Linked DNA regions of Oreochromis niloticus. The main gene of each other region encodes a partner of the protein of the gene in region 4 in a complex. Links are inferred from orthologs where the notes say so. Each region holds a gene or a part of one and is shown on either strand. Other genes may lie near its edges.

Evidence for each region.
Region 1: the proteins of mcm2 (region 4) and dnajc9 are in contact, whole or in part, in a crystal structure (PDB 7CJ0), measured with the Homo sapiens proteins. The link is inferred for Oreochromis niloticus from reciprocal best matches to the Homo sapiens genes MCM2 and DNAJC9. Residues at the interface, in NP_004517.2 of Homo sapiens: Glu65, Glu66, Glu67, Asp68, Glu104; in NP_056005.1 of Homo sapiens: Lys185, Arg189, Arg192, Lys244.
Region 2: mcm2 (region 4) and gins1 share a complex: the UniProt entries of both Homo sapiens proteins name them as parts of the CMG helicase complex. The link is inferred for Oreochromis niloticus from reciprocal best matches to the Homo sapiens genes MCM2 and GINS1.
Region 3: mcm2 (region 4) and donson share a complex: the UniProt entries of both Homo sapiens proteins name them as parts of the replisome complex. The link is inferred for Oreochromis niloticus from reciprocal best matches to the Homo sapiens genes MCM2 and DONSON.

Annotation. Positions count from the first base shown.
Region 1 is NC_031978.2:12,735,952-12,743,568, reverse strand, and holds the start of dnajc9 (dnaJ homolog subfamily C member 9), read right to left. Parts: upstream 3,010-7,617; 5' UTR 2,820-3,009; coding exon 2,646-2,819; intron 1-2,645. Other genes in the region: ndnfl (protein NDNF), read right to left, coding at 6,614-7,617.
Region 2 is NC_031978.2:2,105,969-2,113,722, reverse strand, and holds gins1 (DNA replication complex GINS protein PSF1), read right to left. Parts: upstream 2,907-7,754; 5' UTR 2,849-2,906; coding exon 2,774-2,848; intron 2,740-2,773; exon of another isoform or gene 2,247-2,739; intron 2,137-2,246; coding exon 2,072-2,136; intron 1,488-2,071; coding exon 1,389-1,487; intron 1,309-1,388; coding exon 1,218-1,308; intron 1,023-1,217; coding exon 906-1,022; intron 828-905; coding exon 753-827; intron 666-752; coding exon 597-665; 3' UTR 508-596; downstream 1-507. Other genes in the region: lysophosphatidylserine lipase ABHD12, read left to right, coding at 4,091-4,263, 6,753-6,874, 7,624-7,729. UniProt on the Homo sapiens protein: Required for correct functioning of the GINS complex, a complex that plays an essential role in the initiation of DNA replication, and progression of DNA replication forks.
Region 3 is NC_031986.2:3,398,490-3,406,419, forward strand, and holds the start of donson (protein downstream neighbor of son homolog), read right to left. Parts: upstream 3,013-7,930; 5' UTR 2,740-3,012; coding exon 2,317-2,739; intron 2,187-2,316; coding exon 2,112-2,186; intron 1,984-2,111; coding exon 1,783-1,983; intron 1-1,782. UniProt on the Homo sapiens protein: Replisome component that maintains genome stability by protecting stalled or damaged replication forks.
Region 4 is NC_031970.2:13,027,624-13,034,707, reverse strand, and holds the start of mcm2 (DNA replication licensing factor MCM2), read right to left. Parts: upstream 3,017-7,084; 5' UTR 2,869-3,016; coding exon 2,863-2,868; intron 1,818-2,862; coding exon 1,630-1,817; intron 1,527-1,629; coding exon 1,354-1,526; intron 1,274-1,353; coding exon 1,149-1,273; intron 1,056-1,148; coding exon 917-1,055; intron 819-916; coding exon 721-818; intron 556-720; coding exon 434-555; intron 227-433; coding exon 19-226; intron 1-18. Other genes in the region: lmcd1 (LIM and cysteine-rich domains protein 1), read left to right, coding at 5,316-5,342. UniProt on the Homo sapiens protein: Acts as a component of the MCM2-7 complex (MCM complex) which is the replicative helicase essential for 'once per cell cycle' DNA replication initiation and elongation in eukaryotic cells.

The DNA.
Region 1 (7,617 bases), on a different chromosome or scaffold from region 4:
CACTATATAGAACCACTTTATAGAATTATATTTGTTTGCAGATGTTGGCAGCTATCAGCGAATAGTTATCAGCCATTTTGAAACAAACAAAAAAAGACACTTTTTATCCATAACAAGAACTCCATAACAGCAAATACAGAAAATACAAATGCTATTTATGGTCTCCTCACAACAATGATAAGAAAAATAAACTGGGCCAATATGGCATGTTTGTTAATACAGAGACACACATGTTAATGTGATCTCTGGTCTCACACTCAGAGACACAGGTCTCAGAGTGTCCAGCATTCAGACGGCTACCCGAGGACACTCATGTGAGAGAAAATCTGCTCACACAGATATGTAGAGCCAAATACTGTCAATAAGGCCTCTGCAATGTTCTGAAGACAGTCAAACTTGTCAGGTAGTGATGTCCAGCAGGTGAAAATGCAAACTCCATGAACACGCACAGCTGTAGATTCCAGCTATTTCGATGTTATATGTATGATTTCTATACATTTTATGTTAGATAAAAAATTTGGTTGTAAGCTTCAGATAATTATTTAATAACACCCAGACATTTTAAACGAGAATAAGAAAATATTTCTTTGTGCCCCCCTTTACCTGTTAATGCCCTACCTGGCCCCTGGCAACACTTTGCTAGACCCGCCCCTGCACAGTTACCAGCTGTCAGCTACTTAGAAAAGGATCCTGGTGTTATTTGTCTCTCAGAAACAGTTCATAACTTCCCTTCAACTCATTCATGCCACCTAAAAGGTAAACCTGTTTCTCCATCACCTGTTCAGCTCTGATGATTCAGTAAGGACATCTCCTGGTTTCATCTGCATGTTTCCCTCTCACCAGATATACAAACCATCATGACCAGCAGCTTTACAGCTGTGGCTCCAGCAAACATCAGCTGATACTAGAAAGAAATATTAAATAAATTCTAACAACAGCTGATCAAGCTTAAACGTGCTGCTGTTGTTTAGCGCGACATCCGCTGGTTTCCTCTTTCTGGCGCAAAGTGGGCGATAAACAAACAAGAGAGAAAAGCCGATCAGCTGATCATTGATCGTTTCATGATTGAGCAGAGGGAGGGGGAGAATGAGAGAAGAAGAAACAGCTGACAGCGTAACGACAGAATAACTCCAGCTTTGTGTCTTTTTTTCATTCTAGCTGAAGTCCGGGACAAACTGTGTTCCTTTTCACCTCAATACGAAACGCGTAATATTTTCTCTGAATACGAGACGATTCCGTCTTTTTACAGGCAACTCTACTAACTAACCTTATGAATAAAATAAAGTTCACTATGGTATCACTAACATCAAAGCACCCACCAGCTGTATAGAAACTCCGTCATGCTAGCTAGCACGCAGTACGAGTTATTGTAACTGACTGTAAAAAGTCAGCACAATGAAAATAAACTCCACCTAAACTTGGTTTATATCTGACCCAGATAGACTGCAGGTCATAACTTCTTACCTGAAGTTCAGTTCACCTGAGACTTGGACCGGCGGCTGCCTCGGGTCGTTCCTCCTACTGCCTCCCCTTTCTCTCATCCACCTGCTGGCCTCCACCACTTGCTAATTTTACTGAATCTGAGGAAGCTTCGCCATAGCCACCACCAAACAACTGAGTTATTTGTACACACCGACCAGCATCTGGCCAATCCACCACCTTTCATTGTTTATACGGTTACAAAGGAAAAAAAAGTCACCCCGGCCACCGAGCAAAAGCCCGATGGCCAGTCCAGCATTGGTCGTGCCATCAGTTAACCCTTCGCGTGCCAACTGTGGCACGCGTGCCTAGGGTTGCCGACCCCTGTCCTAAACCATCACAATAACGTCAGATCATATTTATGAAATGATGTCTTAGTTTTACATCAGATGTAACTCAAACCTTCCAAAAAGTTAAACTTTGTCTAGTGAGTCCACAGAATATTTTCCCAAAAGGCTTGGGGATCATCACAATGTTTTTTGCAAATGTGACATGAGCCTTTGTGGTCTTTTTAATCAGTACTGGTTTTCACCTTTGAACTCTCCAGTGGATGTCATTTTTGCCCAGTCTCTTTCTTATTATTGAATCATGAACACTTAGTTTAACAGAGACAAGTGAGGTTCGTTAGATGTTGTTTTGGGTTACTTTTGACCTCCTGGATGAGTCTTTGATGGGAAGGTTCACTACTGTTTCACGTTTTTTCCATTTGTGGATAATGGCTCTCACAGTGGTCTGCTGGCCTTTCCAGACTGGTAGATGTGAGACTTGGTTTCTCAACTGTTTCGTTTAGCCTGCTTGACTTTGTAAGACAGGTTCTATTTAAGGTTTTTCTTGATTCAACCGATCTGGCAGTAAGCAAAATATTGGATTTAGTTTACAGGGTAACTTATATGTGGGATATGAATTACCTAACGAGTCTGTTTTGCACCTGAATTATTGTGAAAATTTAGTATCACTGGGGGATGTTCAAAACATCTCTGTAATCATGTAGATACCACAAACGCATGACCAAATCCCGCGACTGGATGCTACTGGAGTGAAGTCTGTGATGGCACAGTGCGAGATTATTCACGGCAACTACAGTTAGCTGCGTTAGCTAGCTCGCAAGCCTAGCTTACTCTCTGCGTGTGTGTTTGTTGTCACAGCTAACAACAACGAGCGTTCACCTGAAATTTCTCTGTGGCCAGCGGGTCGTCGGGAGCCCGGTCTGGATGGACTTTCAGCGACACTTTGTAGTAGCTCCTCCGGATCTCAGCCTCTGTCGCCTCTTTGTTGATTCCCAGAACCTCATACAAGTTTGAGGTCTTAAAAAGCTCCTGGCAACGCTCGAGCAGACCCATCCTGACAGCTGACCAGGTGCCTCAGTCTGAGCTTTGACAGGAAAACAATTTCCTCCTAAGAGTCTCCGCGACGTGTACTGGGGAGTTTTGTGGCTAGCTAAGCTTTAATTTGTTTTCTGTTGTCGGTAACATCAATTTGGCGCGCTAGCCTGTCACAGAGACCAGTGCGTGCATCGACGCGCTTGCGTAACGTACACAAACGTCTTCTGATTGGATCTCGTGACCGACATTGTCAGAATGTGAAATGAGGCCTTTCATGACGCACTTTTACACAAGAGATAACACAAGATTTATCCTTTTGGGGAAAGATAGTTTTGAACAAACTTTTTTCTTATTTCCCAAACTTCTTTCAGATGGTATTTATAGTGTGTCAACATCTTCAATGTGTTGCCAGTACGTTATAAATGTTAATTGATACATGTTTGGTGTTAAAACAATACAACTAGAGTACCCTTAATCTTGCAGTCCCCAACTCAGTGGCATGAATACATGGATAGGACCAGTTGGAACTCAAATACTTTACTCAAGTTTAATGTATTTTATTTGTTACTTTTAACTATTATTGCACTCTGTACTCCACACATTAAAGCTTTCATTATTTATTATTTTGCAGATTAAATGCTTATAAGCCTTCTTCTTTCAGCTGTGGTAACCCTCATTTCCTAGAACCCTTGTCTGTCACACCAACCCTTTCCATGTTCTCCTTCACTACATCCATAAATCTCTGTTGTCTTCTTCTTTTCTTTCTGCATGGCAGATGTATATTCAAGAACCTTTACCTAATAATATAATAATATAAGTGATTAAAATCATTAACAACTGCAATGTTTAAGAGATATACACATCCATAAATTACTAACTATGATTCAGTAATATCATGTTTATGATTATGCAAAGTGTCAAATACTTTAAACTTTAAAGGTACAGTAAGTATTTTTTTTAGTTTATTTATTACATAGAAAGCAATGTTGTTCTCATAGTTACTGTGTAACTACCTCTTTAATCAAACTGATTCTGTAAACATGCTCAGTGTATTTATGTGTGCATTTTACTAGTAATACCACAAACCAGCAAGGCTTTGTGTTTTCTCTTGAATAAACCCTCATTGTCTTACCACAGCTGCTTAGCATTTCTCCATTTCCCACCAATCAAAGCTAAATCAGCATCAGTCTCTTGTATTCCTTTGCAAGTGCTGCATCTGTTGTAAAAACTTGAAATGTCCTTTGTGTTTTATGTGGAGACCACCCTAGATGTAGGAACCCTTATAAGTTGCTTTTAATTTAAAGATCACAAATTGTTCTTTCTTAGCTATAGATGAGTATTTAATAAATGAAACTTTTGTATTGCCATCATCTCTTCCTCACTATGTCTTTCTCCTTCTCCAACACGTCTTTCATTTTTCTCTCTTCTTTCTCATTTCCACGTCATTTTCTTCCTCCCTACCTTAAGCCTCATCTCCTATGAAGTCAGGGCTCCAACACATGCAAATGTGCATAAACATGCTTATTTATTCCCCAAATTGTCACAATTACTTATTTTTAGTGGATTAGACATGCAACCCATCTGGACAACTGAAAACGCCAACTACGCAACAACAGCTGGTTATAAACTAACGCTATGTCAGCTAATGTTAGGTTTGAGTGTCCTAAAAATCACATTTTTCCTCTGATTAAAGGTTTGATTTCACTCTCACATTATGTGAAAGTTTGTTTGTTAGGCATTGGAAGACAGCAGTGTTTGATCCACTTCAAAGAAATATTCACTAACACCAGCTAATAGCAGCTAACAAGAGCTAACAGCAGCTAACAGCAGCTCAGTGGCAAAAATACAGCAGTGCTTACCTACAGAAAAGTTGATACTCTTAACAACTCACCTCAGTATTGCTGTAATTGGACAAAAGTGAGCTTCACTGACTCATGGACTCGTATCGGACTCCTTTCACAGGGGTTTCACAAGGTTTACAGCCTCCTCCAGATTAAATAGACATGGACACCCGGCATATTGACAACTCAGGTAAGCAGTGGACTGACAGCCTACATTCACTGTAGATGCAGAGTTGTTTGTCCTACACCAGCTACTGTAGCTTAGATTATGTACTTGAATTGGGAGGGATAAGAAAACAGAATTTCCTTGGCTGTAATCTGCAATCTACTAATATCTATTTGTGAGATTTTACACATTGTACCTTTAAAAATATTGCACTTTTACAATACGTAAGCAGGATTATAACTTTTACTGTAGTAAAAAGTCTAAATACTTTTTTCCCCACTTTGTAAATCAAGTATACAACACAAGACTGTTTCAATTCTTGTGCCGCACCACTTTTCACTAAAACGGCCACTTGAGGCTCTGTAAAAGCTTTTCAATACTCATAGACTCCAAGTTTACACCATTAAATAGCATGTTAACAACCATTTACAGAAATGGTTTTGGGATTTATACCCTTTATATAAACTCCAGGGAGGGTGAAATGCATCTGCCATTTGACTGACAGGTGTCCAGACCCAGGCAGCTGTAGCCAGTTAAGCTTTGGCAGGTCTCAACTCCACTAATCAAAAACATTAGATTAGTGTGAAATACAAATGGTCCAAGAGGTTTGTCTTTCAGTTTTAGTAAGTGAATTCTAGTGCTCTATTTAGCAGGTATAGTTGTCTCTACCTTGAACCTGTATAGCTTATGGGTGGAGCTTGATTACCAAGGATGCTAGCTAATAATTTAAATCCACCCTGTCATCCAAATATGGTAAACAGCATGATCAAATGCCAAGACTGAGGCTAACAGTGATGCTGCAGACAAATTATTGTTTAATGATGTTAAAGCTGTTCTGTCTGAAGTGATAACACCATATATAAATTACCCCTTTTAACATTGTTTTTTCTATATTATTTTCTCCTGAAAAATTTCTATCAGCAGATTAAAGTCTACGTAAAATGCATTTTTCATATTTCAACCTTAGTTTGAATCTATTCACCAAATTAAATCACAAATCTCCCCTTAATTAAATGCCACAGATTAGTGTGGCCTTGAGCAACTCAAAAGACTTAATTTCTCATGATAAAAGCTGAAGCGTTAAATTTAGAATTTCACAAACTAGTGCTAATACATGCATCAGTCAGGCAGAACCATACGGATACCCAAGTATTTATTAATGAGTTTGAAGCAGCACAAGAATACATCAAAGACAATGAGGCAAGTCACTAAGTATTTTCACTGCTTCATGCGAAAGCAGAACACAAAGATACACACTGACTTTGAACTTAGCATCTGTAGATTGCACCCATCTGTGTTTATAAGCCTGTACAATATGCAGCACTGGAGATATATACTACAACCCCCGCGTCTCAGATGTTATCTAATTATTGCCCCATCTGCTTCTGTTGCATATTTGGCACAGTCTCTGTTGTTGTTTTTGTCTTGACTTTTGTCGTCACAAACCTCATCCGTTCTTTGTATTCTGACACAAAATAAGCACTTGGACAACTGGCACATTATTATTATGATCAACAATGGAAAAAATGACAAAAGCACAGGAACTGTATTGTAAATGTTATGAACTTTTGCTGGTGTGCAGATCCTTCTCATATGCTTTCTATCCACTTGCACAGATCTTGTAAGTGGAGATCTTGAATGTAACCATTGCTCCTCCAGAGGGAATATTTCCTTGTTATGGTAACAGTCTCTCTACAACAGTCAAATGGCTTCGTTCTCTTGGACAGTCTTTATAGCATGCCCGTGGCTGATGCATTTGTCCCTTAACTGAGACAGTTTAAAAACCTCCTGTAGGGGGCAGCAGCTCAGCATTCCTTTCTAGTCTTCACCATCTTGCTGGTATACTTGATAGGGATCCCCCAGCGTCTCATTAGATAGACATCAAACACATAGGCCATTCCTGGCTCCAGGCCCCCAATCACAGCTGTAGTGACGGCCCGCCGAGGATTCAGCTCTTGGAAATACTTGCAGAGAACTCTCTCGGTGTCAGAGCGGGACTCTGGCCCCAGACAGGGTGCAGTTAGAGCTGATGCTCCGCCAGCTTCTGCTTCACGGCTTCCAAGCTTTCTGCGGTACACACAGTAAAGGCTTCTTTCCTCTGTTCCCATCCACGCTAGTGTGACACTATTGCAACCACGCAATCGGTTGAAGGATTTTATCTGTAAGGTGGAGGGCAGAGATGGGACTCCTCTGCGGTGGTAAGCTGATGAGGTCTGCATTTTGACTGAAGCTGTCAGACCTTCTGGTAGCGATGGGTCTGTAACAGCAGACGTGTGGTCCATGGCAGTTCCTTCTCTCTTCAGGTGGATGAGATAGGAAGTACTTCCCTGGAGCCATATGTGCACTAATTCTCGCCCAACAGCCTGAGAGGTCAAGACCTGACCTTTACTAGATACAGTCACCTTGACCTTTTCACCTTCCCCACAGCTCTGCAAGGTGAGGAGGCCACTCTGTTGCCAACCCCGAGGACGGAAACTGAAGAACTGCTCCGAGCTGAAGCCTCTGTCTTGGAAGGTCACCCACCTCAGCTCTCCTTCTCTAAGGGTGGTAATAGCAGGTCGAGCCTCCTCATGTGTCCGAGCAAGTGTCCCCTTGTATGCCATGCTGGTCCCATTCAGCCTGTCGACCACAAAGACATCAAAGTAATACTGGGTCTCAGGCAGGAGCTCTGAGACGGTGCAAACACTTTCTGTCCCCTGACACACACATTGGAGGTCTTCATACTCATCAGTGAGGGAAGCTGGTGGACTTTGAGGACTTTCAGGATAAGTGTCCCACTGCTGCCACCACCACTCTTTCAAAATGGGCC
Region 2 (7,754 bases), on a different chromosome or scaffold from region 4:
TTTCTGTCTTCATTTATGTTGGAAGTGATAGCAGAGCTGTACGTTTGAATGTTTCAGAAATCTCAGTCAGAACATGCTATATCATGTTTAGGTGGAAGCTAGTGAGCTAACTTCCTGCTAACTTCTAACTCTGTTAAATTTCATAAATCCTGTTTTCATGGATGCCTGGATGTTAAACTTAATAGTTACACCTGGTAAAGCAGCAACGCTGATCATTTTATTAAAGATGAAAGAATTTAGACAGTTTGTAACTCTCAGTGATGCCGCAGTGTTCGTTTGACTTTGGGACCTGAAGCGGAGTTTGGACCCAGAAACAGCTGATGACATCAGACTTAAAGACCGGATGTTCTTTATGGATCTGTCAGCTGATCCTGTGATGACAAGTCACATGACACAAACACACAGGAAGTCCCTGACAGGGTTCAGGTTCTGTTGAACCTGCTTCCTGCTCAGGTGGATAAGAACAGGAAGTGGCAGCCGAGAGCTTTTAAATAAAGTAGGCGGAGCTTGAAAAAAACATTTATTATCACATCAGAAGAAGAGGCCAGAATAAAGGTAAGTGCAGGTGTTTTCCAGCTGCTGAAACATCTGCATCGTCAGGACACCACATGCTCCAGGACGCCCTGACGAATCAGCAGTTCGCATTTCCACCGCGGCAGGAAGTGCTGAGGACAGAGGGGACGTTACCATGATGACTTCAAACATTTCACATGTTATTAAACAGTAGAAGAAGAGTGGCTTCCTGTCCTCACCTGGCTGTTCTTCTTCAGCAGGATCACCGTGCCGTCGTCGATCTCAAACTCGCCGTGGTCCTTCAGACACCTCACCTGAAAAACAAAGACGGATGCCGGCGTCAGTGCTGCGAGGTCATGCTGCAGCTGAAGGTCAAAGGTCAAATGTCTCACCTCAATGTAGAGGCTCTTTGGAGGCTTCATGTCCTGCGTGATGTCCAGACCCTCATCGCCCCCCAGAGAGCGCATGAAGGAGGCCAGAGACTTCTTATACTGACTGAACCACTGCAGCTAAAACACACACAACACACACACACACACACACTGAAGAGCTACAGCACGCTCTGCTGCCTCTTTCACAATAAAAGCCTCCCCTGAAGCGAATTACTCAGGCTTTTAAAGTGAAAGTTTACAACCGCCAATAAAAAGAGCATCAGTGAGAGCGCTAACACCTGAGAGACACACAGGAAGTGATGTCACACTCACCTCCTCTGCACACATGTGGAAGCGAACATTGGCGGGCAGCACGCTGCCGTACTCCCAGCGCAGCGCTCTGATCCTCAGCAGCCGGTCGTACCTGCAACAAAGATCAGCAAAGGTCATCGAGGAGAAAGGTGAGGCAGAGAGAGGTGGTCACATGACTGCAGGTGTGGTTACAGGTAGGCGGTGACGCAGCGCTGGTTCCTCAGCAGGCAGCAGTGGCGCAGTTTGATGGAGGGAATCAGCTCGGCGCGACCTTCGCTCTTTGCCTCGTTCCTGAAAAAACACGCACATCAGCTGATCAGTGACGCCGTCAGTCGCACCTGTCTGTGCGTGCGAACACTCAGGTGCCAGGGAGGATGCTGGACGGGGTCCGCTGAGCAGTTTGGAGTGGGCGGGGCCTTCATGACACCCTGAACCAGCACTCAGGTGGTGTTCCTCCTTTTTAGGAGGTCCGGAGGGTGTGTTACTGTAGGGTCTTTACCTTACAGCATAAGCACCCTGAGGCGACTGTTGTTGGGATTTGTTGCTGTATAAATAAAATTTTATTTAATTCCTGAGATAAAATTTTCATTGCATTTAGTATTATTTATTACTTTTATTGTAACATTAACTGTAGGTGGTTTTGGACCCAGTATCATGAATTTAAACTGAAGCTGAGGCCCAAAGCTTCACATGACTTCCTGTTCATTTGATATGGATTTCATGGTTTTTAAAACCTGCTATGAGAGGGAGGAGCGGGGGCACGGGAGGTTTAATCTGGTCATGGTGAAGCTCAGGTTAACAGAAACCTGGATCCAAACCCTCAGACCCTGGGAACTCTGAGGAAACCCGGACAGATTGGCCTGCCGTGGACTCACACGTCACTCTGGTTCTGCTCGTAAAGTGCCTCCATCTCCTGCAGCACCTGTCGCAGTCCATCCTCCTGAAACACAGAAACCAAACCCGAAGTGAGTGAGGCTCAGTGACCTGATGGAGCAGCTCCCGGTGGAGGCACAGACCTCCACAAAGCACTAGTTTGCATCAAACCCTCACTTCCAGGCGCCTTCAGATGATTCTTGTTGAATCCAGACTCCATTCAAATTTCTCCCTGTTTAAGGCTGAGTTGTTATTAGTCATCCACACACGAGTTTGACAGCACTTTGATAATTCAGCATATGCAGGAAATGATTCACCACGAAGAGTCCAACATAATATTAACTGTGTGCTGCTGGCTGCACATCGGTGTCGTTAAAACAGCCGACATGTAATGCAGTGCCCGTTATGTGTAAACATGTTTAGATGAGATCTCTAAGACGCGCATAATTCTGTCCAACACTTTTCCAATTTCAGAGTCCGTTTTCTTAAATTCCCCTCATTGGTCTGTTGGTCAGTATTTGAATCATCAGACCTGAGCCGAAGTTTAGTCCTGTGTCTGCACTGACTGAGGATGTTTGCGATGCATCACAGACCGATTATTCTGCTCTGAGCAGCAGGTAAATATTAAAATATCAGGTTTGTGAATGGAGTCCGCTGCCTCTGAAAACCGGGTGAAGCTCTGGGTTTTCGCCGGGATCACTCACGTTAAACGCGGGCAGCTGTCCGTCGCTCATGCGGTGCAGCTCTCTGATCAGCTCGATGGCTTTTTCGCAGAACATCGTGGCACCTCGAAAACGAGCACACCGAACAGAACCGAGCAGAATACCGGGAATCTCTCCGTTGGACCGCGACGCGCTCCTACTGTACCGGGCGGCTCGCGTTCGCGGTAAAAACAATGTTTTGATCACGTGACCGTTCCAGGCGCAGCTCCGGAAGCCGCGTTGGGTCAAACCTCAGACTCCGCGACACGAAGCGGGCAGCTGCGATTCCTAAAGGCTCTGGAAAGAGTCGGAGATGCGGTGAAGCGGATTCATTTGAGCCCGACTTAGAGGTGAGAGAGAGCCGTGTTAGTGCTGGTGTCGCCGGGGGCGGGAAAGCCGTCATCTACCGTCAAATCTCAGTTCTATCCCGCAGCGTGACTTCCGGTAAGCGCAGCGGCTAAAAATAAAGCCGTCAGCCCGACAGGAGCCTCTGACAGCGGGGACCAGGACGAGCCGGACTCACTGGCTCTGTGTGAGTTCATAAAGCCGCCTTTAACGCACTCTCCGCCGCTTCTTCTTGGGTTAGCTTCGGTTAGCTTCACTGTTAATACTGCGTTCAAGTTCCACCGGAAAAACGACCCCTCTGCAGCAAAATCCCTCAAAAATAAGTCAAAACTTCTGGGGTGATCGTTGGTTTCATCCACGCTTCCAATCAAATACACATCACTGCAGCTGTTTATCAGGAAATTACTTGATCTTTGTGGTGGCTTCTCTTTCTGGGACTTAATGGATACTCAGTGTCCTGATGTCGATTCATAAATGCTTTAGTTTGGGATTTTTTTTGGTCTGTGGTGTGTATTGGAATGAAATACAATGTATAAATCAAGATAGAAGCTGCTTAAATATTCCAACACAGAGACAGAGATCACAGCTTCTCACGCTTCACTTTGGTCACGTCATTCTGGGCGTTTCTTGACTTTCCGAGCTGTCCCTGAAGGCCCCGTACGCTCCCTTCGTCTTTAGTCTTTCTTTAATCCTCATAAACCGGTTTTGTTTTGGTTGTCGTTGCTCCGACGCTCCCCGGGGGCCGTGGACGCGTCACTGTGCGCCCACGTGGTTGTGTTACCTGCGTTGCGATTGGCTGCGGCAGATCTGCTTCAGATCAGCTGCTCTCTGCGGATCTCGGCGCAGGCACAGCGGGGACTCGGCTCCGTGCTCACCGGCTCTCAGCGCTCCGTCACCCGCACCGCAGCGGCCTCCTCCCCGCCGACGACGGGGGTGTCCTCCGGTTAACATCCGCTTTCAATCACGTTTCCAGGCATGCGTAAGCGGACCAACTCGCAGACAGCGGAGCATGACAGCGGGACCACCGGCACTCTGCTGGACAGCGACCCGGACCTGAAGCAGCGCACTGGCAGAGGAGCGGCGGGGCCCGCAGCAGGCAGCCGGCAGGGCCCGGGAGAGGACCGGAGCATGGCCAAACCGTTCCGGAGGTGAGAGGCGGGACAGATGCTTGTGATGTTGAAGCATCGCGTTATTTAGATGAAAATCAGTGTGATGTGAAGTGAATTCCATTTCATAGAAAAAAATCTTTATTGTTTTTGCTGCTTTTCTACTCAAGTTTATTCATTTAAGAATAATTAGTGCTGTACAAGAGAGTGAGACATTTAACAGTGATAAAGGTATAAATCCATAATGATAAACAGCTCACACGTAAAACAGAAATAAGAAGAAACAACAGTAAAATGGAAAGCTAAAAATTACAACTCGAATAAGAACATTTTATAAAAAATGCTTAAAAACAGAGTTGAATAAACAGCTTATTAAAAAACATCACAGAGGAGACCAAAAGTGTCCCGTCTGAGAGATCGGAGCGGGCTTGTACAAACTCAGGTATTTCCTCAACGTGCTGGGATTTTGACCCTTGTGCAAGATCTGACTGTGGGGTGGCGTTTCTGGTCCGACTGGTTTCACCGAGGCCGGCGAGCTGGTCAGACCGGAAGCTGCAGGTCGGACTGAACACGGCGGGTCCATAAAGCAGCGCCTCATTCAAAGCTCTGAACACAAAACTGCTCTTTGTTTACTGCAGCAGGAAACTTTACATCGAGATGCCAAAGCTATTTACCTGCAACAGCTGACAGACTCAAGCTGTCGCAACATCATCACGTTTAGTTTAACTGAGTCATCTCTGGTTACGGGCACAGGAAGTCAGCAGTTACAGCAGAAATGAGCTGATAACAGCAGCTTCACTGAGAGACAAACAAACATGAAGCTGCTGTGATTCTGATGTTTCTCTATCAGGATGAAGCTGACACTTTCAGGTCGGCCTTCATCCTGACTTTATTGTTGAGTGTTTGAGTTGAGTGTTCGGTCACAGCTCACGGCTCAGAGAGCTTCATAGGACCGCCTCCAGCAGGGTTAAACATCACAGCTGGGGGTGAAGAAGGCTCTCAGGCTCCGCCTTCACAGCCGTCCTTTAATGAAGAAATGAAAGAATTTAAAGAAAATACTCCAAAAAGACAAAGTGACTCTTTTCTGATCTTTAATTCACGAAGAATGAAGAATGTCAGACCTCGTTTAACCCCAGCTCAGCCTGTCAGGTCCACTCTTCTTCTTTGGTTTAATCCTCATTAGAGTCTCTGCAGCTCCAGCAGGAGGTCACCTGAAGCACAGGTCAGGCCCAGTGCATCCTGGGACGTTGACACATCCACCGTCTGAGCTCAGACGCCGACAGGAAGTGGCCTCGCTGCTGCTGCTGATGCGTGTTAAAGCTGTGGGTCACGGGTTTGAGTCCATGTGTCATCACTTCCTGCAGAATCAGCTTGTGAAAGGAGAAGTTCTGCTCCGTGACGCCGAGTCAGCGTCTCGACCTCAAACACGGGTGCCCTTTGACCTCTGACACACTTTTCAGAGAGTCGCCGTGAAATACGGAGCTGCGTTTTCTTATCACGAGTCAGCAGTACTGCAGGTGTAACAGTGGGAGTCTAGCCCGCCACAAACACGGGCATCCAGCTGTGGAGACACCTGACAGGAAGTTAGGAGGAGGTCCACGTTAAAGAGGCGGGGCTTTAGAAGCTGTTTGTAGATAAAAACATTGATTTCCTGCTTATGTTCATCATTACAGCCACGATCAGACAAGATGCTGTGTGTGTGCATGTAAACATGCTGCTCTGAGGACAGGTGAAGGTCTGCAGACTCTCACTCATCAATGAATAATTCAGTCTGCAGCTGCAGCGTCCTGTTACAGCGACAATACCAATACAGCTGATCAGCTTACACACACACACACACACACACACACACACACACACACACACACACACACACACACACACACACACACACACACACAGGGCTCAGATATCACCTTCACATGTTGTCCTGAGAGAAAGCAGCTGCTACCAAACTTGAATAAACTTTATTTAAACGGTGAACGTGAGGCTGCATCGCTCACACATGTTGTGTGCGTTATTTTCAGAGTTGTGTTTCTTGCAGTTTCCTGGGTTTATTCATGTTTCGTGTCTTTGGCAGCTCGATGGTTGTCAGATGCAGATTAATGAATAAAAATGTAATAAAAGTCAATCCTGTGTGATCGGGTCGAGTGGTGGACGCTGAAATAAAGTCCACGGAAACTTTCTATTAGTTACTGTGTTCTTAAAATGACCTGTGATATAATAATACAGTGAAATGTGTATTTAATGTCAGCTGAGGCTTCAGTTACCCTTTAATAACAGGACATTTTAATCATTGTTGGAGTAAAAGTCATAATAAAAATAAATGTACAGAAAGTTCAAACCAAACAGAATCAGGTTCCCGTCACAAACTGAATGTAAAGATTTCACGTGTCAGACGATCTGCACGCCTGTCACACGTGTCACGCTGAACGTGTCACGTGTGGGTCATTCATGATGTTGTGCTGTTATTGTGTGCCCTTGTGAGTAGGCGGGGTTTAAATAAAGTTATTTTGAATGTGTGTGCTCAGGTTGGGTCTGGTGGGGAAACTGAAGAGGGTGGTGTTGTGGCTGCTGCTCGTCTACGTCTCCATTCCCTTCATCATCAAGCTGTGTCCGTCCATCCAGGCCAAACTCGTCTTCCTCAACTTCGGTGAGTCGGCGTGTCCCGAATCGGCCTGTGTGAGCGGACGCTCCTTTATTTATAAAAACCTTTTCGTTAACACGCAGTAAAAGAAAACTCGATGAATCACTTCAAACCCCGGCCGCCTGCCCCTCCCTGGTCCTGCTCTGGTCGAGGTCTCTTCCTGTTAAAGGGAGTTCTTCCTCCTCGCTGTCGCCGAGAGCTTGCTCATGGGCTTCTCTGTGACTCTTACCTGAGTGAATGACTAGTCTCGGTTAAAGAGCGTCCGTCGTCCAATCAGACGGCATCAAACAGTTCGTCTGACTCAGTGAAGTTTAGAAAACAAAGTGTCGGTCCTGTGATCGTGACAGACATCAGTCTGTCCACGTCACCTGCACAGGTGCACTGCAGAAGACAAAATGCCACGCCCACATTTCTCCTTAAAAGGAAAGACATGAATGTGCAGCTCAACTATAAAAAGGGTTTCCTCGACGTGATGGGGGCTAAAAATAGCACAGAGGCTCAGGTGGAAACCACACAGCAGAGGGAGGGGCCACCCACCTGTGGGGCCGCGTTACTTTAATAAATCACAACAGAACGTTTATTTATTCTGTGTGTGTGTGTGTGTGTGTGTGTGTGTGTGTGTGTGTGTCACTGAGGTGTATTAATTACTGTAAAGATCAGTAATGATGACAGGAAGCATTGTGAATAGCGAGGCATCCTGGGTGTCAGTGAGCAGTCATGTGATCAGTATGTGACCTTTGACCTCCTCCCCTCAGTGAGGATGCCGTATTTCATCGACCTGAAGCGACCTCTGGACCAGGGATTGAACCACACACACAACTTCTACCTGGAACCTGAGAGCGGGCTGAAGATCGGAGTCTGGTAACACAGACACACACAGACACAC
Region 3 (7,930 bases), on a different chromosome or scaffold from region 4:
TAGCTCAGTGTTCCAACATGCAGAAGAAGCAACTGCTATTGCAACTAGAGATTTGAAAGAGCAGCTGACCTGAGAGGTCTGATTACGAAGACTATGTGAAGTAGAGCTGGGCGATATGACCCAAAATTCATTTCTCGATATTCTTTAGCTGGATGACGAAATATATATCTCGATATTTTTTTAAAGCCATAAAGTAAGAACAAAAAGAGAGTTCTAAGTGAAAGCTGTGTCCCAGATCTCACACAGACACTTTTTTAACATACAGCATAGATGTACATGAAAAAATTACTACTTCAATAATAATATTACTCCAGAAATAAAATAAAACTGTTGTTTTTGTGCATAACAAAGAGCTCACAACTGTGCAGTCAAAATGTAAACTAACAGACGCTGAGCATAATAACATAGACAGATTTCACAGCTGCTCTGTTCCCAACTTCTACTGCGTGACTGACAGCCTGGAGTTTGAAATCCTCTTTGTAACCATGTCTCTGAACAGGAGCCATTTATGGTCCTTATACACACACAATACGGTAATATTACGTTGAAGCACAGTACGTATCACTCCGCGAGGCTCCTGACTACGGTAGCTGTAATCCTCCGACAATCCATCAAGCGGTGCAGCGCCGTAGCTTAGCAAAGTCGCACTAAAACATTTTTTGACAGATTGCTGAGCGCTGTGTATCACATAAAATCGGTTCGCAGTCAGTAAGCACAACCAGAATTCATACATAAGGCATACCGTCGATTTTTGAGAAAAAGAAAGGACTTTAGGCCGTGCAGCCCCCGTGCGATGTGAATGCAACATTACAGACAATCACCACTGTGGTCATCAATGAAACCAACCAACTGATCTACCCCACAACAGCAGTGATCAGTGAGATGTTTGGGAACAAGATGAGCACCCACAAGGAGCAGTACCCTCCATGGAGAAGGAAACTAGAGGCCAAGATCAAGGCAGCATAGAGGGAAGTATTGGAGCTGCAGAAAGGTGTGATGAAGAAAGGGATGTCTAAGAAGTACAGCAAGCTGGTCACACCTGAGGCCTTGGAAACTGCCAAGCAAAGACTCACAGCCTTGGCTAGCAGCTTGAAGAGGTACACCTGAGACATCGAAGCCATGAAAATCAAATCATCTGAGATGTGAGGTGCTGGAGATGGAGCAATATCGGAAGAGTATACAGCAGAAGCACACAACCCATGACAGCAATGCTCAGTGTTTAGTGGATCTACGGGCGAACCACAGCAGCCTCCCTGAACGGGATCCAGTAAGCATCACAGCGGCAGACATCCATGAAAGAGTCTCAAGCATGAAGCGTTGGGCAGCATCTGGCCCTGACATCATCCACGCCTACTGGCTAAAGAAGCTCATATATACAAAATCCCTACTAATGACAGTAGGGACCTGCAATTTTCATTGTTATTATAAATAATAATTATTAAGAAGCGTATCTTTGTTTTAGACTGAGACTCAGAATCATCAAACTGATCCAGGTTTGCATGGAAACTGTCACACTGATCATCTCTGCTATTCTGTGATATCATTTTTAATTTGGTTACAGAAAAAAAAATCTGGCTGAATAAAAAACAAGATTTTAGATTTAAACATCTGAAGTGGGTCTAAAATCGAAAAGTCGTGAAATTTTGAGGGCTCAACAAGTGCTGAAAAAAATATTTATTTGGAGAGCTGTAACTGGTGTCACTAGCGTCTCCATAGCAACATATAAATGCACAGTGACTATTGTGCGCCTGTCCATCTTCCACATGTATGCAATGAGCCTACCTGTGGACTGTGTGGCAGGGGACTGAACTGTGCCCTGCAGTGCTGGCTGAGCCCCTGAGCTTCTTCCTGAGCCTTGAGCTGCTCTGCCCATGAAAGGGAGACCGGAGAGGTCAGGAGGAGACGAGTCTTTAGGCTCCAGTCTGCTGGATACTGGGTGCACACAGGAGCTGCTACGGCAGTGGGAGCAGTGGCTTGGGGGCTCTAGAAGGACAGAGGGGAATCCTTTGAATACACGGTTATACACTGCACAACAGAAAACCTGGGAAAAAGTGACAATTCTCACAGATATGTCATTCAGCATTTAAAAAACACACAGAATAAATTCCCACCTTCAGCAGTGGGTTTTTAATATCCTCCGGTTCTTCTTCCAACAACACATCACTCTCAGACAGAGATCCAGATTTCTACAGCAGGACACAGACAAGAAAGGTAAGGCGTTTAAGAGGGGGTCCTATAGTTTCTCCCCTCATGTTTACATCTCTACCACATAAAAACAGGAGCTTCCTGACGACAGTGCAAAGGACCGAGACCAACCTGGCTGGAAGCTTGTCGGTATTCCTGTTCTTGTGCCTCATCGAGCCTGAAGCTGAGAGCCAGATCTAGCGTGCCTTCTCTCTTCGATGATTCTTCATCTCTCTCATTGTTTGCGATCCCGGAGCTATCGGAGTTTTCGGTGTTACAGCTGGCGTCGTTAAAAGTTAGACGTTTCTTCTTAGGACTGTAAGTGTTTTCTATTTTTGCGAACGGGTTCCTGCGTTTTATTCCAACCCCGAAATGGTTCTGGGCGCCGGAGAGCGGTTCGGGGGAGAAAGTCCGTACGCACGTCGGAGATGAGCCGCTTTGTTCGGGGCTGTCTGTGGACCCGGCCCCGGCTTCGCTTCGGGCTCTTTTGCGCCTCATTCGCAAAATTTCCGCAGGCCGCTTGAAGCTGGGTGAGTATCCAAAGTGTTCCGACATCCTGTGGAGATGCAGTTTGCCCCAAACAATCCACTTTTAGCGCTGTTTCCTTTAGAAAGGGCAGGACCCGCGGCTGTTTTTGTTTTGCGCTTTCTGCGCTGTACAAATTTGGCGCGTAGCGTGCTGACGTAAAGAGTCCCCGCGTGTTAATGGCTGTGAAGAGGTCGGAGCTAAACGGACGTCATTTGTTCACGTTTGTTTTTGTGACACGTTAAAAATAAATACATAATAATCTACAGAGTTAAGTGCAATTATTGTGTCTGTTGGAGCCTTTACTCATCGGGAACTTTGGACATTATGGTACGTCAGGATGTGACGTCGTATCGGGTTTTACTGCATTTGAATTGTATAATTTAAATTAACAATTTAATAATAATCAGAGACATATACAGAAGGAGATGTTGGAACAGTTTGGAAACTTGAGGGTTTGTAGAAAGAACTTTTCAGAAAAACACTAGTCAAAGTCTTGACTTCCGGCTTTGACTTCTTCTCTTCCTATGTCAGCGCTTATGTGGCGATATTGTCTTAGTGGCGACGCCTATCATCCAGGAGAATACTGCAGCGGCTATATATCATGACAGTGACGAGTACCGGCGGGACTTAGAGGGGACAAATTTAACGTCGCCAGCTTCGCATAGATCTACAAATGTAAGCTGCTTTCAAGTTCCAGTGTTAAACTGGGACATTTGGGCTTCCATTGTATACCTGCATTTTGTTTTCAGATGAAGTAGATTTTTTTTTTTTTTTAAAAACAAACAAACTTGAAAACGTGATTTATCATTGCAGACACTATACAGTAGCGTGTAAAGGTTAGTATATGGTTTAAATAATCTGTTGTTACATGCTGGACACTCTTCTGTGGGGAAAAGCCAGCCAGTGCTCAGCTGCAGATAGAGGGAACAACATGGTTGTATCATCCTCTCGAGTGAGTATAGTTCTCCTTTTCAAGATCAGCTGTATAAATTCGCTATAGGCTCCTCTTGTTCACGTGTATCTTTTATCAGTTTATTTATTCGTTTCTTTTTGTGTTGTTTCAGTTATTACATTATGTGTGGTATAGTATGACAACGTCTAAGGCAGGACAGTCAAGAGGAGAAATAAAAGGGAGAAGGAGGGAAGAAATAAGGGAAAATATAATAAAAGGATAGTGGCACGAGCCGAGAACAGGGTCCCAGGGCTCCAGGCGTCCAAGAATTGGCCAGCACCTGAGCCAGAGCCCCCTAACAAGGAAGAGGTCCAAGCCATCCCATACCAGCAAGGGAGCGGCTCAACAACCACACCAGAACATCCAGCCACGTGCTGTTGATCCCTCCCTTGGATGCTGCCCCTCCCTGCATCCCAGGTTGGGGCAGCATCATCCAGCGGAAAGCGGTAGGAAGAGGGAACCACTCCCTCCATGACCATGTCCCAAAGGGGCCAAGGCTCAGCAAGCCCCAGTTCCAGGTCCAGTCATGAGCTTACACTGGATTTTTGAGCTAGTATTTTGCACTGCTCTTACTGAAGTGCTTTTACTGCACCAATTGTTTATAAATTGCTCCACACTGCAGTTGTGACATCACAATAATTTGCCTCACTTAGTAAATCTGTCCCATGGCATATAAAATTAAATACATCTTATTTTCTTAGATTTTACTGTTGTGGTCCAGTTTAACCCGTTTCCTTCTTCCTGGTTAGAATTTCAAAATAGGCCAGGGGTCAAAAAGAGGAACACCAATGCCCTGTCCCTTCACGAGCTGCAGACTAATATAATCAGTGTTCTCACAATCGAGGTAAACAAGGCAAACAAGCTAGAAAACATGGTCCCAATATGATAGAAAAGCTTAAACATGACTAGTTTGTTTATGAAGAAATTAATGGCATTAACAAAAGAGAAAAACAAGCTCTTGAGAAAATATTCAAAAACAGCAAAGTGATATCAGTAACAGATTATCTGAAGCACAGTGCTACAAAAAATGATGGCGTCTGCATCTGTACGATGAGAATGAACAAGACAACAGGACGTGAGACAAAAAGTATCCTGATTCTGTCAGAAAGCTGCTACCGAGCTCAGACAGAAGGCAATGATTGATGTGACGCACACGCTGGGCAGACGAGCCATGTGCAATCATCATCCTCTGCTCTGTGAGAAACATCTGAAAGAGAGCAAACAACAGTTCCTTCCTGAAAGAGAAGAAGCTTCATTTTGGTGAGAAAGAGAGTGGTCAGAGCAGCGCTGTGGAAACAGCTTACATCCAAAGATTCTAGTACTCTGTCTATAATCACGTTTTGGTTGATTTAAGCAGAGCTTGAACTGAATATAAAGGAGGCAGAAATTTTTCCTGCTATTTTGAAAGACCACAAAATTGTGACACAGACACCAAATATCAGTAAGTGGCACAATAGAAGGGGTTAGGCTCAGACTAGCTCACTTCTGAAGAGCGAACAGCTCATATCAGATATAAAGGATCTTATAGGAAAGTCCTGGAATTTGGCCTCAACAAGTGATGAATGTGGAAAATACTGGGAATTTCTAAGGTTTTAAATGAGAAAGATAGCCATTGCATAAGCACATAAAAAGAGCTCAAAAATAGAAAAAATAATGATATTTCTGCTGTCAATTTACCAATTAAATGTATAGCTGCTCTCTTTAATGAAGCGATCTGTAAAAGAAGAACTGTCCCCGTCATTAAAGCAAGGACATCTCCCTTTAATTCCCCAAACCAACAAAGATCCTTTATGTTTTGATAACTGGAGACCAATTACACTCAACAATGATTATAAAATGACGATTTTCATATTAGCAAAGCGTTGAAACACTGATCCAAATAAAAGAATTCAGGAATCCCACTGTGGATTCATGAGTGGCATTCATATCTCAATAATATTCACCTGTTTTTGGAGCTAGTTAACTACAAATAATGGCTTGTTGGCAGTCACCTGATTTTATTCTTTATTCTCTACAGTTCTCCACAATTTTATCTTTAACCCTAAATTTTTTAAAATTTGATAACTTTTTTTTAATCAAAGCAATAAAGACCTTATCATCAGTGAAACTGCCATCACTCAGATTAAGAGGGGAATTTTATCATGGCCGTCCCATCTCTTCTTAGCGGTAAGCCAAAATCTAAACCTTTCAATAATCCACGATAAATTTAGTTGCATTATCTTTAAATGTACACAAGTCACTGTCACTGGGGTGACTGTAGCTCAGGAGGTAGAGTGGGTCACCTTAGTGGTTTGATCCCTGTTTGCATAAATAACCCCAAGCTGCTCTCTGAAGCATCCATTTGAGTACAAATGTGTGTGACTGTTAGATAAAAAGCATGTAAATATAAGAAAAAAGTGCTTGTATTAATGGTAAATGGACTGATATGGATAGTGCTTTTCCACTCTCTCAAACACAGTGACACAAATCAGGCTTAAACCTTAATTTAAATAATTTTGAAATTCTTGCTTTAAAAAACATTGCTAATACAGAAATATCCTAGTTAAAAATATTGTTAAATATTTGGGAGTTTTGATCCCAGTGGAGGACAAAAGCTTGATGGATGATAACATAGACCTGGTGATTTTATATGTTCGAATGAAATGTAGCTCCTAGCTGGCTAAAGACTTCCTCTTTATGTCAAAGTGGTGTTAAGCGAAGAAATAAGCTCCACAACATTTTTTCCCTTCATTTAATCAGATTATCAAAATTATTGGATCAAAATGTTTCTGAAAGATAATACGTGGATTTTTATCCTAAACTTCCTATTTAAAAAAGTAGGTGGTGTTAATGTTTTATGAATGTGCCCTGACCTTTCATAAACAGGTTGGTCCTTCCTACTACTGACTAACTACTGTCCTCGCAAATATTTTATATGGAACTGTCAATATCACATACAGAAACAAGTCAACAATATTTTACTGGTGAAACGTCTTTTTGATTGTGAAGGACTTCCATACTGAGGATTTTGTGCAGAAATACAGAGTTCTGGTCTCCAAACTCCAAATTCTCTACCTTCACTCCAGTTGCTGCGTCCGCACAGAGGGTGGCTTCACGAATTTCTTCAACATTGAGACCGGTGTGAGGCAAGGGTGTATCCTCTCTCCCTTCCTCATCCTTCTTGCCATTGACTTTGTTATGCGGAGTGCCATGGACCAAGATGCCTTTGGGATACCTTGGCATCCACCAGCACACCTGAAGGACCTCGACTTTGCAGACGACATTGCTTTGGTGGCTGACGTCCGGAAAAACATGACTACTATGACATCATGCTTGGCGCAAGAGGCACCCAAAGCAAGCTTATGGATCAGTGGAAACAAGACCAAGGTCATGAGGATAGGTTACGTGACAACACAGGACTCCATTACGGTAGGACTGCAACCACTGGAGGAGGTGAATCAATTCACCTACCTGGACAGCATCCTGGCAAGTAATGGAGATGCTGAGCATGATGTTGTGTGTCGAATTGTAAAAGCAGGTGCGGTCTTTCAGCGGCTCCGGCCGATCTGGTTGACCCCAAAGATCGTTCTGGCGACAAAGATTCGCCTGGTCAACTCCATCGTTATACCTACCGCAGTCTACACTTGTGAGACGTGGAAAACATCAGCCAGAATCACAAAAAGACTCCATGTGGCCCAGCAGCAATGGCTACGACGTATCCTGGGGGTCTCCTACTGGGACCATGTCACCAACGAAGAAGTACACCATCGAACTGCCACACGTCCCCTGCAGGACATTGTGACTGAGTGGCGTGTGCGCTTTGGAGGTCATGTTCTACGTCAACCCCCACATCGACTGCCCAAGATTGCCATCACATGGAACCCACCCCATGGAAGATGCAAACCAGGCCACCCCCGTACAACATGGCGGAGGACCTTCATCGATGACTTACGCACCATAGACATTGCATGGGATGAGGCCGAAGCAGCCACAGCCGATCGAATATGTTGGTGGACGCTTGCCGCCCAATGCGTTGAACGGCGCAGGAGGACCTAAGTCTAAGTAAGTAAAAGTAAAGGTCTCCAAAGAGGAGATCACATACTAAATATATTAATATATAAAAAAAGATCTATTTAAAAATATTTGTTAAAGCTTAAAAGAGTATGAATATGTAAGATTTCCATGGGAGTGCAGAGGATCCTCTTTCACAGCATATTTTATATCTAAAGAGACTTTTAATACAACATATTTTAAATGTCCAGTACATGAAAATAAGATGCCATTCCA
Region 4 (7,084 bases):
GCCCGGCCCTCCCCTCACCTCCTCCATGTTGATCTCAAACGGTCCCTGGGATTGACACTCCGGACAGGAACCCGGCTTCACCTCCTGGTTCTGGGACTGGAAGAAGGGCCCTAGCACGAAGTTACACTTGTTACAGTTGTACTTGACCATGCCGAGCTGAGGCAGGACACCGGTGCAGCTGCTCACCACGCCGCTGGTCCGGATGAGCTGATTCAGGTGCAGCTGCCTGAAGAGGACAACAGAAGAAGAAAACAGTTGGTAAAGAGCAGAAAGCTTCACCCAAGTAGCTCCTTCATATATAGACGGCCCTTTTTGGAAGAGCCACAGATGTGCCTCGCCAAGACAAATGTGGAGGTCTCGCCTTAGTTTCATTACTACTGTGAATTATTCCTTCAAGTTGAAAATACCTGTTGGGTAAAAACTGAAGTGTTACCTGAGTGATCGGATCTCCTCGACCAGAGGCAGGTTGCAGATGCGGACATGGATCTCATAGGCGATGCGATCGTATTTTGGGTACATGGCAAGCACAACTTCTTTAGCTGCTTCATCAAAAATCTGGCAAAGAACAATCAGACACGCACCGGAGATCAGAAAATAATTGAAGGACACTCACATTTAACTTTCACAGCATTTAATATCCGCTAAAGTTAAATATAAATGCATGAAGAAAAAAAAAAAGGCACAGAAAAGGACATTAAGCAAGATGACAAGTTGACTGACCTTCAGCATCTCAGCTGGAGCTTCTGGTAGGAAGTAAGCCAGGACGTGCTCCCTGGCTGCGAGGTCCTCATAGTTTACTACCAGGCTCTCCTTGTTCTCTGGATTACAGGTTCAGATTGATTCATTCAATCATTGCCAGAAATCAGCCAACAATTATATTTTTCCGCACATTAAAGTTTACTGAAAACTGCATTACCTTTACACATATCGCTGATCTTCTCCTTGAAGACGTTGCGGCCATTTTCATCCACGTGTGTGCGCAGGAAGTTCTTGAAGCGGTTGTAGATTTCCAGCCGCGGCGCCGCCATGGATACCCACTCCCTCACTGTGTGGCCCTGCACAGTGTGTGAAAACGTTACAAAGACGTCCCAAACAGCCGGACCTGAAAAGCTTCTGTGAGCTAGCTTATCTCCAATGTCACCACAAACCTTCATGTCCTCCAGATTCTCAATACTCTCAATCATCTCCTCTTCCTCGCCATCACCTTCTGCTGCCCGCTCAGCCAGCCGTCTTCGCCGAGCAGCCGGGCGCTCGTCATCCTCATCTTCGCTGTCTGGATGCCAACAAAATAAAAGAATTAATCACAGCCTACACGTCACCACCCTGAAAAATATCCACACACTCAAGCCTCACCATAGAGCAATCCTGGCCTCACGCGCCCCCTGACTCCCTGTTGCCTGTCCCTTCTCCTCATGGCCTCCTCAGCGGCCGCTCGGGCTCCAGGCGACAGCTCTGACAGCTCCTCATCATCGAGGTCCAAACCCTCTGCCTCGTACTGATCCAGCTCCGGGATGGCACGGTAATCCCTGAACAGAGACAGAGTTGTTATTAAGCCCTAAAAAAAAAACAACAAAAAAAAACAACCCCACAGAGTTCATAGCTTTAAGGCCATTTTAAATCCACGCTCACCTCTCCATCCCATCTCCAATCAGCTCCTCTCCATCTTCTTCCTCCTCCCCAGGCAAGGGTCCATCTCCCAACAGCCCCTCCGACTCATCCTCGAAGGGTGGCAAGTCTCGTCCGGGGCTGGAGGTCAGGTCTCCCCTCCTGGAGGCTCGGCTGGGGCTGGTGGCCATGTGGTATGACTCTGAGGAATCCTGTTGACAACACGAATTCAGAACAAATAAATTATTCTTATGTTTACTGCCAACAGTAACCTGACATTGTCTACAGCTTCCACTGCTCACATACAGCATTTAATTTTAGTCTGTGTTTTTATTTATTTTTTTAGCAGATTCAGTTTTTTTGCATTTTGTCTTCAGTGGACAGCAGCAGCAAGAAAGACAGTAGGTAGGGATGGTGATGAGGGCAGAACATTGTGCCACTGCTGTCAAAGGATTATTGTCTTCAATTAGTTTGGATGTACATCAATTTGCAAATGGACTTTAATTATATTTTTTAACTGGTAACTTGTAGTAGTTAGTTTTATCTAAGGGAAGAAAAACTCACATAGGACTGTGTGACTTCTCAAAGATCATAGATCTTTAAAAGTAAGACTGTAAGACATGTTTATTACATTTAAGAATGTGGCGAGCCAACATTAGAAGCAAAATGTAATTTGATAGTTTAAGTATTACAGGACAGTTGTTACCACGGGACAGTGTATTTTAATGATCTTTTCATGTCTTTACTTTATTGAAACCAATAATTTAAAGCCCATCATGCCTTGTAAGTAAACTATAATCAATTATTCCAGATGTAAGGACTCATGCAAGGGGGTGTAAAGATTTTTTTTAAAAAGTTTCATTATTCCTCGGTTGTTACTTGAGACGGTTTAGAGATGCAAAAACAAGCTAACTGACCACATGGTAGGTCTGCTTTTCACAGCGAAGGAACAAAAAAACAACAACGGGTTTTGGGTCCAGTCTACGAAGGTGAAAAACGGTTCTTAGCAAAACACGCGCAGTTTAAAAGATCATAAAGTATATTTTTAATTCCGATATGTGGGAAAATGAAGCTCTACATCAACTCTTGATGACGCTCTCTGTCGTTGTTGTGACTTCGACGAATGAACAAAGTTTATTTTCCCAGAAAAACTAAAGCTGACTGGTAAAAACTGCTTCGTATAGAATAATGCGCCTCTGCCTACAAGCTGAGCCCTCCCATCAGAGCACTGCGCCTGTTTTTAATGAGTTTACTCACCGCCATCGCTGCGTTTCTGTCTCGCTGCTGCTTCAAAAGCTACTTATTCTTCTTCCTGCCGTGAGTCGCTTTTCGCGCGAAAAGACCATGTGACACTCAAAGCCCGCGAAAAAGCATGAATATTCAAGAGAGACGGATAAGGTTTTGCTTTCTCATTGGTGTATTTGCCTGAAAGAGGAGGGGATGAAAAGCACAGTGCGTTCGCTTTATGACAAGGAGCAGAACGACCGCTTGTCCTGTTGTGTGATGACCTTAATAAAAACAACTAGGGTCGAGCCGCAGAGTAAAACGAACGCACCTTTTGTCTGACCGCGATGGAGGGGCAGGGTTTATTACGTCGTATAGTTTCCCGGGAAATTTTTGGCTGCGTTCAAATCCGCTTTATTTCCTTCCTCGTATCCTCACTACACTAAAAATAAAGTGGCTTTTGCCTTCCTGTGGATGTTTTTGCACTGCAAAAATATTAATGTCATCAATTAAGTCAACACATAAGGGATCAATAAGATAAAATAATAATAATTTGTATGTATAGATGCGAAGATTGTGAGACAAGAATGAAACACAGAAACAACCACAATTTAGAAACTTAAATAATAAAAAACACACATGCTTTAGTAAAAGTAATTCTATAATGCCAGAAATAAAGGTAAAAATATTCAGGGAAAACATTTGTAGCCTGAAGTGACTGCATTTAATTAATTAAATTCATTTAGTGAGGCCAGTTCCTGAAACTTTAGTTGATTCTGCAGCTCATCCCAGGAGCAAGGAGCTGCAAAGCTGAATGCTCATTTGATAAATTGAGTGCAAACCTTTGGGACAGAGAGAAGGAATTCATCTTGGGCCCTATAGACAATAACGTCCCACACTTTTTTGATGAATGCAAGCCAGTAAGTAAGAAGGCAGCAAATGTGGAGTAGCCTTATAAATAACAACATTCCAGTGGCTAAGGCTATAACACGACAAAGAAGACCATTCAACCTGAGCATATAGCATACAGTGAAGAGTACAAGCCTTTATATTGAATCAGTGCTCCATGATAGACAGAATCTAGCATCAGTAAGGATTCTGACAATGCATGCAAATAAATCACATCATCATAATCAATTACAGACATAAAAGTGCCTCAAAGGATCTAAATATATCCCCTTAGTACCAAAACAGGTGTGATAATGACCTTTCTGCAATGGCATTGGGTTTTTAAATTTAAACAAGTGAATGAGTTTAGTGTCAAAAAGGGTGAGTTACTAACATGTGCAGACTGAAGAGCTCAGATCAGGCCAACATATCAGCTTGATTTGAATGTTAGTTTGCTCGTTCAAAGCTGTGTGCTTTAAGCCATAGAAAGAGACAAGAAGGTGTAGCTGCAGAGACAGACCTTTATTTTGTAGCTATTTCTGATAGACCAGAGATAGCTACAAAATAAAAGCACGAGATGAGAGAGAAAACGATCATCAGCAGTCAGAGGGATCGCCAGAACATTTCTGTTGTTCTGCACTCACGGGACCTGAGCAGGCCCGCTAACACCAATCCTGAAGAAATCAAAGCCATAAAAAAACACGGCCATGCCGTGTTAATCACCACTAGGCCTCGTCTGGACCTGCAAACCTGAGGTGTGTTGCTCATGCCTTGGTCTAAGCTTTTCTGAGCCACACTGAAATTGCAGAAAAGGAGGAGGAGGAGGAATTTCAGCCATTCCTACTGGCTGAGAAGTTTTACAGGGTGACTCTGATTGGCTGGAGGAGTGTGAGCAGGGACTCCCTCTGTGCTCTCTCAGTCTTTGTCTGAGATTAAAAACACAAACAGTTCAGTCAGGCCTCACTGATCCAGTTAGTCCCAACAGTGTGCTGTTCTGCAGCAGAGAGCAGCTGTGATTAGGGACAATGCAGCTGTGGTTTGAACAGTCAACACTGCAAGTACCTGCAAAATTTAACACAGCAGTGTGAATTCCCCACTCAGCAGACTGTAGAACTGGAAGATTAGAAATTTTACAGGAAAAAACAATAAAAAACAACCAAGTTTCCCCCCCTCACGTGTTGGAGCAAAATCAGGAGGTGAAGAAACCTGCTCAGTTCATGTTGCAGAGGGTGGAGAAGCAGAGCTGGCAACCACGCAGATCAGGAGGGAAGAGTGGGGGACTATGCTGAATGGAAAAGTAAAAGCAGGAGTTTACAGCTGAAGAGGACAAAGGTGAGTTTTAATTTTGCTGAGTGTAGAGAAGAGAGAAATATAAAAGCAGAGGACAAAGAAAGGAGGGCTGATGAAGGTGTGGACGGTTAAATTGCAGTGAGCTGTGGAGAGCCGGCGGAGCAGAGTGGCAGCAGAACCGACTGTGGGCGGAGAGCGAGGAAGTGCGGTCAACAGGAGAGGAATTTAAAGTCTCATTGTTCTGGAAGAGCGGCGGCAGACGGAGTCGAGGAGCCGAGGAGACAGCTCACCGACTGACGCTGGACTACATGGACATGAACTCAGCCATGGAGAAGGTAAAAACATCTGCATCAGTACAGATTGTTGTTCACAGATATTTCCAGATGTGGAGGTCAATGGGTCAGAGGGTCACTTACTGGTGTGGCACATCACATCAGTGTAAGGTCAGAAGGAACTCTGTGATGTGCCTAAGTGAGCTTTTCTGACATTTAGAGGTTTGAAATGTCTCAGTTAGCTCTGAGTTTGGATGTTTTACATTCAAGCCTCAGAAGAATCTCACATTTCTTCAACATTCATTCATCACTGTGTTCAAGATCACCAATTTCTGTCTGAGAGAGGTTTTATTTTATTTAGCTACACAGAAAATCAAGTGTCATCTGAGTTGTGTGATGTTCATTTAAAGGGAACCTATCCTGCTTTTCCTTCTTTCCTGTGATTATATGCAGTTGCAGTGGTGTATGCTCACATTAAACACAAAGCCTCACATAATGAGGTCAGTGTACGTGTGAGTAATTCCTGTGAGCAAAAGCCGACACTTCAGACTGTTTCGTTCTTGGATCTGTATGACATCAGATAAAGACGGGTGTCCTTAATATGGTCATCTCAGGTATACCTGAGGAGCAACCAATCAGAAGAAAGTTGCTTTAAAATAAGGATGTCAAACATGAGGCCCAGGGGCCAAAATCTAGTCAGGAAACATTCAAATTCAGCACATCTTTGGAAAATATAACAAAAGACATAGATTTAGTCTTTTAACTGTATTTTCATACGTTTTACAGCTTTTCCTGCTGATAAAGACCTCCTCCTCTGCCATTCATACTACACCAAGAGTAATTAAGCAATAGATTTTTAAGACGTTTCTTATAATTATAGGACAGTCTGAGCTACCAGAGCTTTCTCTGTAATTCTACACATTTATTTCTTACAATTTACTGCAATTAAATTCTGACAGATTTCTTTCATTTAACACAGCAGCGTTTCTTTATCATGTAGAAAAACTGACAAGTTGTTGAAATAGCACGTGGTCTTCTCATATCTCAGGGATTCAATTTGTAATTCAACTTTGTTTTACACTGACAGAAAGTGGAGTTTCGCTGGTCTGGCCCACTCAAGATCAAAGTGGGCTGAATGTGCCCCATGTTTTAAAATGAATTTGATGGTTTAAAAGGAGATGGACAGGTAATGAACTAAGAGAGAATAAGATAGTGTAATATAAATAAGGATTATTCTGAGCTCTGTGTCATGCAAAGTGACTCTTGTAGAATTTTAATAATAGTAATCATAGTAATAATAGTAATTGTAATAATAGTAAGCCAGAAAGCAGCATTAGTGAATCTACAACAACCTGCACAGCTGCATCCACTGTCCACACTGCACTCAGTTTTGTAATGCTGAACTCAGTGACGGCACCCTCTAACTTTAAATGAATAATGGGCCACGTACACACTTTGAGCTTACACACACTTAACACACTTTACAGCAATTTGATTTTTGATTTCAGATTACATTACATCAGATTTCCTGATCTGACCCAATGAGGAAGAACCTCCAAACAAATAAAAACAGAAGTCCAGCTTGAGTCGAGCTTTCTGCAAGCTTTAGTCATTGTGATCAGTTCAGATCATGTTTATAAGTGCTGTAGGCTAAAGCCAGTTTGGACACATCTCTCTGCAGTCTGAGTCTAACAGCTGGAGGTTTCTATTTCAGTCAGCGAAGGTAATCCATGACCACGAGGTCCTGATCTGCCTGCTGGGTCTGTGCTGGCGGCACTTTGTTTCCCACAGATCCCTCCTGTAAT